3 linked regions of the Saccharomyces cerevisiae S288C genome follow. The protein of the gene in region 2 interacts with the protein of the main gene of each other region in a biochemical or structural test. Each region holds a gene or a part of one and is shown on either strand. Other genes may lie near its edges.

The links. Proteins that work in one complex are often made in the same cells at the same time.
Region 1: of the proteins of IKS1 (region 2) and CMR3, one has a biochemical effect on the other in vitro, tested with the Saccharomyces cerevisiae proteins (one large-scale study listed by BioGRID).
Region 3: of the proteins of IKS1 (region 2) and SCT1, one has a biochemical effect on the other in vitro, tested with the Saccharomyces cerevisiae proteins (one large-scale study listed by BioGRID).

The regions. Positions count from the first base shown.
Region 1 is NC_001148.4:584,132-587,514, forward strand, and holds CMR3 (Cmr3p), read right to left. Parts: upstream 1,455-3,383; coding exon 501-1,454; downstream 1-500. Other genes in the region: YPR014C (uncharacterized protein), read right to left, coding at 3,058-3,383. UniProt on the Saccharomyces cerevisiae protein: Probable transcription factor involved in the regulation of the transcription of genes involved in cell rescue and defense, as well as cell cycle and DNA processing.
Region 2 is NC_001142.9:327,428-332,342, reverse strand, and holds IKS1 (protein kinase IKS1), read left to right. Parts: upstream 1-2,221; coding exon 2,222-4,225; downstream 4,226-4,915. Other genes in the region: ZAP1 (Zap1p), read left to right, coding at 1-1,912; BIT61 (Bit61p), read left to right, coding at 4,470-4,915.
Region 3 is NC_001134.8:201,863-206,317, reverse strand, and holds SCT1 (bifunctional glycerol-3-phosphate/glycerone-phosphate O-acyltransferase SCT1), read right to left. Parts: upstream 2,781-4,455; coding exon 501-2,780; downstream 1-500. Other genes in the region: LAA2 (Laa2p), read left to right, coding at 1-211; FMT1 (methionyl-tRNA formyltransferase), read right to left, coding at 3,057-4,262. UniProt on the Saccharomyces cerevisiae protein: Dual substrate-specific glycerol-3-phosphate/dihydroxyacetone phosphate sn-1 acyltransferase, catalyzing the first and committed reaction in the de novo synthesis of glycerophospholipids and triacylglycerols (TAGs).

The sequences.
Region 1 (3,383 bases), on a different chromosome or scaffold from region 2:
ATTCACTTGGCCTTACTGGCAATCATAATCATTTTGACGAACTGCGGACATCGAGAGTACCCTGCAAATATATCTAGAAAAAGAGGTAAAAAAATATTGAAGGGTCAACCTGAAAAAAATTGAAAAGTGAAAATAGATCTGCTGATAAATAATGCACGGCTTGCATCAAGTGATCACATGGAACTTTCCCAATACCTCAACTACGCATTTTCCCTTGCATATTATATCATCATCCATCTTCTTTGCCTCTCATATATTTACGAAATAATACATAAACATAAAAACGTCTTTGTGCGTCCAAGTAAACTTGAAGACGCACTCCCGTTATATAAAACTGGGAAGAACACTAACAAAGAAGGTGACTTGCGCTTAATTAGTTTTATTCCCTTGCTTCTAAAGTCCGTAAAACATTCTATTAGAGTCTATACATAGTTTTGCCTTACCTTTGAATATGAGTTCTAAAAATTCCATTGCAATAAAGCTTTCCGTTCCTATTGTTTCTATGTAGTGTTTAAGACTTTGTTTCTTTTCCTTTCATGGCTTTTCAAATGTCTCAGCATATTGCTTTTCACATTGAAGGATTTTGTGCAACCCTCCCAAGTACATTTGAAAGGAGTATCTCCCGTATGAATTAAGTAATGTGTCTTCAGCGTTGAGGGCCTCGAACAAATTTTTCCACATACTGGGCACTGCTTTCTCAGCTTTGTGGATGATATTCGGGTGTCAGTTTTCCAATCAGAAAATGTTGCTGAACCGTTCAACACGGCACCAGGTTCGCTTTTTGTTCTGCCGTTACTGGCTTCCTGCATGGTTGGAAGTACGCCATACCCAGGTGGGACTGATTTTGGCCTATCGTGGCATAGCTCTAAGGCAGCGTTTGGGTGACTCGCCATTGATATTGCAGTGAAGTTAGGTTCGGAGGCAATTGTTATTGGTTCTTTGTCGTATGGTGTCAATGGTTTATATACTGTTGGGACCATGACTGGCATCATCAAGGGAGCAGAGGAGGTCAAATGAGGAGACTGGCTATGTGGTATTGGTTGCTGACTTTCCGTATAGTAGATAGGATATTGATCAGATGTTGCGTTCATGGAAATTGGGGTGTAGATCTCATTAACAATGGGTACAACATTCATGCTTTGATAAACTTGCTGTGGAGGGAATTGAACCCTTGAATCTACGTTAGGTGGTGTATTATTTTCAAAATTAGGCAAAAGGGATGAAATTGGTGGTAAGTTTATTTTCGTACTATTATAACATTCCCGTTCATTTTTGTAGCTATTGTGGCCATAAAATTGAGTCCCCTTACCAGTGCTCAGCTGATCAACTGCGGACACTTGAAGGGGGAGGTTCGATTTATAATTGACTGTACACATTCCTATATTAGGAGATCTTGACTTGTCTGTATATGATGATTGTTTTTCTGAACTTTGCTTTGAAAGGGAAAAATTCATGTAATTTACTTTAGTGGCGTTTACTGCTATTTTTCGAAGGTAGGTGATGAACTTGTGTTATAACTAAGAAGCTCAAAACTAAAAGTATACTAATGTTTGAGGAATTATTGTGAAGCCATAGAACAATAAAAAGCTAACAATTGTATCTTTCGTTCAACTTGTCAAACCCTGACAGGCATATAAAAGAGGTATTTTGAAACATCAACATGTAGTAGTCACATATATAGCAAAATAGTAAGTAAGGAAAAAAAGAAGGCACAGAGAATACAACAATAATGATGAAGGCACACGACTGCCCTTTCCGGGCCACCTGCAGATCTGTAAGGTAGTTCAAATGACGTTCTCGCGCGGGTTTCTTACTTATGAAACTTTAGGGACATAAGTCGGGAACCTGATGCATCATTCTTTATCTTGTTTTTTGTTGTTGTTTGAGTTTCTTGTACAGAATAATACGCAGAATTAAAGCGGAAGTTAAAAAACAGATCGTCTTGATCTGCCCTCAAAACCAGTATCCACTGAAAACCTTATTTCCCACCGTAAATGGCAATCACTCGTAGCTCAAGGTGGAATGCTCCCGTAAGGATATTTCCTATATGAGATAGTCCCGATCCTGAGAAGAGGGATCGCCGTCATTTTATTCTTTAACCCCGAGAAACGGCATCTCTCACCTGATTGTTCTCAAGATTGCTGCAAAACCCAGATATACTTTTAGGTACGGAGCGTACGCGATGTATATGGATTGATTTTCACATGTATCGTTTATGAGTACTTGACTGCACCTCGTGTCGGAAGATTTTCCAATCGGGCTTTTTTTCAATCTTGAAGGCCCTCCTTTTCATTTCCATTTGCTCTGACATTGCGGCTATGCATCACAGGCAAAAGCTGAAAAGGAAATTTTGTAGCGTATCGGTTTACTGCACAGTCTCAGACCCTTTGTAGTACTGTTACCTGGAAGAATAGTAGGTGCGTACAACAGTGATTATGTAGTAGTATCTACTGAAGAGCCTACGAGCGAAAAAAAAAAAAATTATCGGCTACATTACGTTGTTTCCTACGGAGACAAGAACCAATATAAGCTGCAAAAAATCTATGAGCATTTTAAGTTTCCGATACAACAAGATGTATGCGTACTATTCACGTCGTGTTATATTGCTCACGTAACAACTTCTATGACAATAATAAAAAATAACCTTTCCATTGTATCATTAAGGTTATCTACGGAGGATTGTCAAACCTAGCGGATATGAAATGTACTTGATTCCTAATTCGGGTTTATTTAGAGTTCAGACTATGTGGGTCATTTCTTATGCTAATAATAGGCACTGAGGTAAGTCAAAATAGCGACACTCAATTACTGTTGAATGGGAAGAAAAAACCGAGAAAGGGATACAGAGATCTTGCCCACGCCTTTTTTTCAAAAAGAGCCCTTCGCAAGGTTGCTCAACGGGATTGTCATAGAAAGAAAAAATCAAAGCCAATAACTACAAGGCCAAAAGTAATGGTAGGGAGCTACTACAAAGTGGGCTCAGCCTACCTGAAGAAAATAAACAATTAATGGACAAGATCTGTTAGCGGACATACAAGAGATCAAATTACCTTCTGGTTAATGCTGTAGGCGAAGCAAACCATTCAATTGAGGAAACCTTATTCCCAATTGCGCTTTTGCTCCCTGGAAGCCTATAACAGCGTGTGGGCAAATAAAGTTGTTTTTCGCCCTCAGCGACTTTACTTCGGAAACTGAAGAGCGGCTAGAAATTTCGCAGAAAAGATTTTCCTTTGAGGATAGAAAAATGAAAAAAAGAAATTTATCTTTTTTCACAACAGGTGCTGCTTTTTCCTCACGTATGCACAGAATGCAAAGTACAAGATTTGTAATACGCGACTCCGCGCAGCTGTACTCTACTCCCAAGTCAGCGGAAAAAATGCAAG
Region 2 (4,915 bases):
CTTGATGCCAAATTTTAACCTTCATGATCAGTACTGTAATAGTACCAATCACGACTCTCACAATCACAATAATACTGTACCAGATAGCTTTTCTCAGCTGATGTCTCACTTATCGGAGATTGATTGCGATTTGACCTGTGACACCCCATGCACGGCTAGCACGAGCGCGACTAGTGGTCACAAGTTTGTTCAAGATCATCAATCATCAAATAATGATGACGTTTTCCATAAATACTGCAAATTTTGTGAGGAGAGCACTGATAATCAACCTTGTTCTAAGCATATGCATTTAGAGTCAAAGCCACCTCAACTACCACCCAAATGTTCATCTTTACGAAAACCTACAAACACTTTGCAAGGTACAAATCATGCTTATCACGAACATATCTTAAATACTGATATGGATTTGAAGATTTTGGAAGATTTATGCAATATTTCTTCTTTGTATGAAGTACCGTTTGGAAAACACATTAACCACCACGACCACAATAATGCCGGTAACGGCTGCGATGGTTCGAGCACAGGAAATAATGAAAACGGTAACCAAACAATGAATCTTCTATTATCAAGCATTAATAGATGCAACCCTAAAAATAATCTTAATGGAAGCAATAACAATACGGCTGGAGCAACTTCAACTGATCATCAACACCATCACCATAGAATACAGTTTCATTCTCACAAACCAAATAGAAACAATATTGTGAACAATTCAGGGATTAGCGCGGCGAACACAACAGCCGATCTAACTAACAACGATTTAAATGACTTAATTTCAAGAGAGTATAGTTATGAAAGATTTAGAAATCAAAGTGAGCCCCCTTCGCTACCCAAAGTCACTCATCAGAATCAGAAAAATCGTAGATCTTGGCCTACAAAAGATCTAGAATCTACTGATTTCAGCTCTTTGGAAGACTCATTACCTTCTAGCATCTCTCCTCCTATACAGACAACAAGCACTATAAATTTCAACTGGTGTTTTAAAGAAGAGAAAAACAATGACTTAAAATGCAAATGGAAAGAATGTCCTGAGTCTTGTAGCTCACTATTTGACCTACAAAGACATCTTTTGAAGGATCATGTCTCTCAAGATTTCAAACACCCTATGGAACCATTAGCTTGTAATTGGGAGGACTGTGATTTCCTTGGAGATGATACATGTTCCATAGTGAACCATATTAATTGTCAACATGGTATCAATTTTGATATTCAATTTGCCAACCCAGACTCATTTTTGCCTGGTAGTATATCAAAGGAAAAACATCACTTACTACATTGCCCCAACCCACAAACACACGAAGTTTCTAAAGCAGATGGAGCACCTGATATGACGTCTGCAAATGATGTTTCCAATATACCGCCAATCAAGCAGCCGGAACAGGTGATTTGCCAATGGGATGGTTGCAATAAGTCATTTTCCAGTGCTCAGGAATTAAACGACCATTTAGAAGCAGTACATTTAACCCGGGGTAAGTCTGAATACCAATGCTTGTGGCATGACTGCCATCGTACGTTCCCCCAAAGACAAAAATTAATCCGTCATTTAAAAGTGCATTCGAAATACAAACCTTATAAGTGCAAGACATGTAAAAGGTGTTTTTCAAGCGAAGAAACTTTAGTTCAGCATACCAGGACACACTCTGGCGAAAAACCTTACAAATGTCACATTTGTAATAAAAAATTCGCGATTTCAAGTTCTTTGAAGATTCATATAAGAACCCATACTGGTGAAAAACCTTTACAATGCAAGATTTGTGGTAAGAGATTCAACGAATCGTCAAATTTGAGCAAACATATTAAGACCCATCAGAAAAAATACAAGTGCTCTGACTGTTCCAAAAGCTTTGACGATTTGGGAAAATTGAACTCACAGAAAGTGAAATGCGCATTGGAAAGAAAACCATATTTATAAATGTGATCATCATGGTCCAACGTAAGAAGGGCGGTTTTCAGGATCACATAAATGCATAATTAGAAACATTTCATATTTTACCTAGACTACTTTTTATTTATAATTTTTCGCAAACTCTTTTTTGTAAGCTTTTACAGTACACTTTTTTTACGTAATAACGTATTTCAAGCTTTATTTTTTGTATACGTTTCAGAAAAGGGGGTGGGGGGGAAGGACATTGTATATATAGATCCTATGAGTGACAACTAGGTAACCGAAGAAACACTATTAGATATATAGTTTGAGGGATAGCATAAGTAGAACTTAGAAATGAGTTTAGTACCATATGAAGAAGGTTCGCTGATTTTAGATGATCCTAATTCTAAATCAGTGGTGGTTGTTAATCCAACCTCAGGAACTTTATCATTTTTCCAACAGGACAACAGTAATAATGACTCTGAACTAAATGAAGACCAGACTGCATCTTTATCAGCACTGGACTTTCCTTCAGGGATTCATCAATACAAAAGCCCTATTGCTTCCTATGTGTGCCCGCAATGTGGTACGGAAATTAACCCTGATATTATAAACAGAAGACAACTTCATCGTCGAGCCTCTGCTGGAGTAGAATCAGAAAGCAGTAGGCTCAGTATTCCAGAGAACACTGTGCCACTTGGATTTGAATTTGCCAATTCAAGCTTTTCAAGAAGATATTTTCAGTCATTGGAAAGAAATCATCGGCACTACGCCCTACAAAACGATAGTAACAATAAGCAGGGACAGTTCAGCAAAAACAAATACTTTATTCCAGATGATTTGTTTATCCCCGGATACTTTCGTAAATTTTTCAAAATATTGTCTTTGCTGGGAAATGGTGCAAGAGGTTCTGTTTACAAAGTTGTACACACAATTGGTAATACTGAATTAGGTGTTTTTGCACTAAAAAAAATACCTATTGGAAATGATATGGAATGGTTTAATAAGTGCATACGGGAAGTGAAAGCGTTGAGTTCGCTAACTCACAAAAGTGCCAATTTGATTACGTATAATCATGTGTGGCTCGAAATGGATTCTTCGGTTGGATTTGTCAGATCCATTGATGGGAGCCAATCGGATTCACAAGAAGAAGTTCCTTGTATTTTCATTTTACAACAGTATTGCAGTGGCGGCAATTTAGAAGACTGTATTCTAAGAAAAGTGTTCAATAGGTTCTCAGATACCGAATCACCTGAAGAGAGGAAAAAAAAATTTAGAACTCGCAAGAAAAATCACGGTAAATCAGGAGAAGTTGGCCTATCTACGGAACAGCTCGTATCCATTATAAGGGATATTGCAAGAGGTTTACACGAACTGCACAGTATTGGCCTAATACATAGGGACTTGAAACCATCCAACTGTTTATTATTGACTCCATTTAAAAGTGACAATGAGAATGACAACGTATACGACAGGGAACACAATTCAGATGAGTTTTTCCCATCAATTGTTATTGGCGATTTGGGGGAAAGTCAGTTGGAAGGAGAGTCCAGATTGGGTACTGGTTGCACAGGAACATTAGAGTTTACAGCACCAGACCTTATTATCCAGGGGAGACCAGTTTCTTCTTCTACGTTGCCTTCAAGATCGAGTCACACATACAATGAATACACCTTTGCTTCCGATATGTATTCTCTAGGAATGATTTGCTATTTTATTGTCTTCGGTGAATTGCCCTTTGAACCACAGTTGGATATAGTTGATTTGAAGGTACGCATCAAAAATTTTAGGTTCGACACTGAAGGTATGATTGAAAAGCATCAAGCGATGAAATTGAAACCAATAGACCGTAGAATATTTCACCTAATGGACGCTCTTTTACAACCAAATAATGATGCTAGACCCACAGCGAAGACAGTGGAGGAGACGTTAGATGAAATGCTAATAAATTCCAAACCCGGCAAAAAATTCTGGAAAGAAAATGTGGATAGCACTTTGAACTTCAGTACAATCTCGGAAGTGAATGAGAATACCAACAGTTTTACTGATGATTATATTGACGGAGACAACGTTACTTTATCATTACCAGCACCAGAGGAAAATTTGAGCACCGTATCAACCCAAAACCTCCAAAAGTATTCTGCTTTAAATAGAACAATCCAGGTTTGTTACAAACTAGTTTCTATGATATTAACGATAATCATATTTAAGTGTACCAAAACGGGGTCGTGGCTCTCTTATATGTCACTGATATTGTTGGGAATGGTTTTTAAATCACCAGCTGATGAAAGAGGTAAGCATGCAAGAGCGTTGGTTTTACTGGCCTTCATCGCCGCATGCAAAAAATACATATACTAACAATAAGTACACATTGCAAACTAAATAGCACGTAATTTATTTTTACTTTACAAATTTATAGAAAATATTCTCGCTTATCACCAATGTTCACGAATCATCTTCACCTCTTCTAAGGGCCGGTGACAAAGGTGCATAATGTTAGAAAAATTGACCGATGAGTAAATTTATAGAGGGAATAACCAAATGAAAAGATCTAGGTGACAGAAACGCCAATTGACCTCTGTAGAAATAAAGTTCTTTCATTATGACAGCAGAAGATATACTCCTTCGAGAAAGAACATCTACTACGACACAACGCCCTGTCAATAGCGAACAATACCTTAATGTGCAATTAGCCACAGCCCCAGTAAAAAATTTTCAGACTACAAGCGAGATTAGCCGGCAAACTCTTGTAGACACATCAAATGATGACGTTTATTCCATCAAGAATTTGAAGGGCTCGAGGAACCCCATTAGCCCTAGTGTTTCTAACGTTGGCTTCCAATCCATATTCCATACAGTAGATCATCCTCGATCGAAGGTCAGTGTGGCCTCAAATCATTCCTTGAGGAGCAATGACAATGCCTCAGCTGCAACATCTAAATCTGGTTCTTCTCAGATAGGGGAATCTCATAGCGTTGACACGGTGGAGTGCTCGAACAATCTATCTAAAAAGTTATCTTCTGATGCAATATCCATTACTCAGAAAAG
Region 3 (4,455 bases), on a different chromosome or scaffold from region 2:
CCACGATACATTGTGTCAATCCATTGACTTTTTGGTTAGTAAATCAAGATCATTGAAGAAACAACAGCGAGACCTCCTAAAGGATAAGACAACTTTTGAAAATGTAGTGACGAATTTGACAGGACATACCCAAAGACTACAGCGAGACGAAATTGCATTGTATAACAAAAAGCGAAACAAAAAGAAAAGGTTCAGTTGGGTAGGATACTAATCGCCGTCTCGGCAAAGCAGGTTGAACGTTGAAGTTTGAAGAGAATAAAATGTTATTAGTAGCATAGGGGACCAGACCAAAAGTCGTAAAAGAGCAATATACTTTTTTATAAAACATACAATTATACAATTAGTCCCCCCCTCAAGAAATAAAAAGCCCCTGTGCGAGGGATATACATAAACATTGAGCATTAATATTTACAACTCCCAATGAGCAATAATGGGTTTATTACATAAATAGAACGGCGAAAGATTTAGTTTCTAGTATCTTCACCGTCAGTAAATGGCATCTACGCATCTCCTTCTTTCCCTTCTTCTTCTTCTTCCTCTTCTTCTTCTTCCTCTTCTTCTTCCTCTTCCTCTTCCCTGGCAGTATTTTCACCAATTCTCTTGTTTAAGACGGCCTGTGCGATTTTACTTGCTAATCCATTTTTTTCCTCCAAGATTTCGTTTTCTACCTCAAATTCGGAGGAAGAAGAAGGTGCAACGGATGTCGAAGCTAAGGAAGACTCTGACTTACGATGAAAAGTAGAAGAGAATAATGGAATGTTAGAGAGGGAATTGTCACTATTGACCAATGAGACGCCATCGGAATCTTGGTTATGGTGTTCATAGGCATCGTGGTTGTCACGTTGGCTGATGATAGGTGATGACGAATCTTTTTCTTGTCTTTTTATTTTCTGTTTTCTTAGCATTTTCCTGCGATTCAATTCTGAGGTTTTTCGATCTTCTTCCTCTTCATCGATGACGTCGAATTCTTCACGTAGGGCGGCACTATCGAAATCGGGGAATAATTCGCTTCCAAAGTTATTTACAACTTCGATTATTCTTTCTGCCAGATTTCTACGATCCTTTTGTAGCTTTTGCAAGCCCTTTGGAGATGTAAGAGATAAAACCAGTGGTCTCAAAGATTTGAAACCATCCATACCAATATCACCCACGATTAAGGCGGAATACGTGACTATAACACACGAGATGTAAGACCCGGAAAAAACATATATTTTATTCCATGGTTTATGTCTGAGGTAATAAGTGATTAAAACGGACCAAAAGATGTAAAGCAAGGGCGCAAATCCCATCCCAATCAAGATTTTCCACGTGGCAATGACATCGTTAGCCTTTATTTTAACTGTAGACTTGGACAAAGCGGTACGGGCCTTTTCTTGAGAAATTCTCTTGGCTAATATGAAGACAGGTGAGAACATAATGATACCTGGCATGGCTAACGAAAAGAGGATGCAGAGCCCGATGGATCTAAAAAAAACAAGTCCGAGGTTTTTTGCGAAATTTACCTTTGCCTCCTCCACAAGGTGATCAGGAAGATTATAGTGTCTCAAGGCGGCATTATATGCCATTATATCTTTGGTCAAGTCCGCTATTTTAGGATCGTTTCTATAGAATTCGTAACCTTTGACCATTCTTCTGTTCATTTCCACAATCAAGGGCAACGGTAACTTGGTGCTAAATTGTGTCATATATAGTCTTCTTATCGTTTGAACCACCATCAAAGTTTCATAATCAGAACATGTAACGGTAACGGATTGTAAACCCTTCGATATGGTATCTAATAATTCTTTCACTGCATCTCTGTTCGTTTCCGGGTTGTGGTACTTGGCGACTAGTTCCTTCGGTATTTCAATGGGGTCACCGAATTCAACAACCGCTCTCGACCTGAACTTATGTGGATGGAAATAATTCATACCGCAGGGAACAATCTTAACATTGACGTCAGGATGCTTATCCATGCAACCAAGAGCCATAATCGCCACACCTGCTTTCAGGGGCAACAAGTTTGTTCTGTCGTGGGACCCACCTTCAGGAAAGATCCCAATGCAGTTGTTATGGGCCAAATGCTCAAAAACTCTATGGTAAACGCAAGATTGGTCGACTTTAGCGGCATATTTATAAGTAGTGCCGGTGAGTAAAGCAGTTTTAATCTCTGGTTTGGCCATTTTGAACTCTTTTCTTAGGGTCAAACTCGTGTCACTTTCTATGGACTGGATTTCTCCAAATCCCATTGATTTGGGTAACCCGATGAGACCCTTTGGCATACAATCAGTCAAGAAATGCGTGTCGTGGCCGATAACTCTCTTGTAGTCTGTTGGATCTACGCGGATAGTACCTTCTGCCGGTTTCAAATTATCCTGCGGCCTTACCACGCCTATGGCCATGAAGAAACTAGCCAAAAACCCTATGGGGGGTTGCTTTAATGAGCTCTCCGCAATCAAGAAGGACACACGTCTGTTGACAGATTTCTTCACCTCGCCCATAAGGATTACAGGGTCGACGAACTGGTTAGCATGCGGAGCCGCAACAAAGATCACCGGTCCCTGTTGCGGTACCTTGAAACTGCCCCGGCCTCTGATTTCTCTAAAGAAGCAGTGGAAGATGTTGTACAACAGCCATGTGGCGATGGAGTAAAGTATCTTCTTGGTAGCGCTAGGCTCTTGGTAGATGTATGCCTGATCAGCCGACGTCTTGACGCTTTTGGCCTCGATGGAACTGTAATTCGTAGTTTTCTGTGTGCTCTTGGAAGAGGCAAATTTCTCCGTGAGTTTTGGTGCAGGCATTTTTTTTTACCCCGATGTAAACGCCCCTGTGCTCTTTTTACTATATATTTAATTCCGGGCTTCCTACACTTAATTCACTCTGTTATGAACTACAAGCCATTACTAACATCAATCTTTCCGAATCATAAATAAACTGCAACTGGGAAAGAAGGCGGGCCTACTTTTCTTTTTCTTCATAGCGCGTAGGGCTTGGCAGCCATAGTTGTTGAGAGACCGATGGATGAGGGATTGAAAGAAGGGAGAAGAAGAATACTAAAAGAGGAATGTAGAGCCGGGTTACAGGAAAACTAACTTTTCACTCAGGGCGCCGCATCTTTTCCGCAGGCGCGCCATGAACTGGCCAGCACGTTCTACGGCGAAACCTTCGAACTGGAGGCGGCTCACACATAGTAGTAAGTTGCCGCGACAGGTGACCAAAATACAGTCTTTAATATCATCATATTTGAACATGCCCGGTTTACTGCCATTATCTAGACGTGCGTCTCTCATCACTTTACACTCATGAAACAATATTCGTTTTAATACTGAATTTTGAGCGTCCTTTCTTGCCGCTGTCGCTTCTTTGAACGCGTGCAGAGGACCGAGCGTTTCGAGTTTGTTAAGTAGTTCGGCGGCAGAATCGCGCGCCCAATGAATGCGTTTATCTTCTGTTGTTATACGGTGGGCGTAACTGGGTTTGTAAGCTGTTGGCGCTTGCACACGGTTCTGTGGTAGATATAACCTCTCACGAAGCGTTTGGCCCAAAAGTTGGGCGCCAAGGGCGCCCAACTGGTCCATCAGTATGGCAGTCCTCCGAGGCAGGCCCTCAGAATTAAAATCTGCCGTCGAATCATTGACTCTCCCTTTTGACAGCATTGTTGCGATCGCCAGTGGCTCCGTCTGCGCTACAATTGCACCATGGTCAAACCGATCCGGATGCAGTGTCTGTATAGTTACACCGGTGTAAGTGTCACCCTCGAGCAGAGCTCGCTGGATAGGTGCACTGCCTTTATGTCTGGGAAGTAGCGAAGGATGGACGTTTAGCGCCAATGGCACCGCGCGGATCAAGTCACCCGGAATGAGCTTCCCAAAAGAAACCGCAATGATCGCGTTGAACGGAGCACCGGAGCCGTCGTTCTCCGGATTTCCTTGGCGACTGGGTGTCAGTTTGCTTAGCGCCAACATTTCCTGCTTGGTGTCGCATGTAATTGGGCGTGGCAATTGAAGCTTCTCTGCCATATCGAAGATCGGCGGGTATTTCAAAATAGACTTCTGTCTACCGCACCACTTCGGCGACCTAGTTACTACTTGAATATTGTCCACTATACCACAGCTTCCATTATTTTGACGCAACTCATTGAGTGCTTGCAATGAGAAATTACTGAAAGTGTCGCTACCAAAGAAAAGCACATTCAAGGGCTGCACTGGTGGAGAAGCATTGTTTGAAATATATCTGCATGTGAATAGGAGGCGTGTAGGTGTTATTCTTCTCATTTTAACCATTTGTTTGATACGCCGTTTTCAATCTTCTCACTATGAGGTGCCTAGGTCCCCTTCCTTTTTTTTCTTACCTCTCTTTTTACGTTAATGAGAAAAGCGCTTACTCCTCTCCATAATAGCAGGTACAGCTTTTTTTGCTTTTTTCTTAATGGACGCTTCTTCCATTTGATATAAATATGGGTTACCCTGTGGGCAT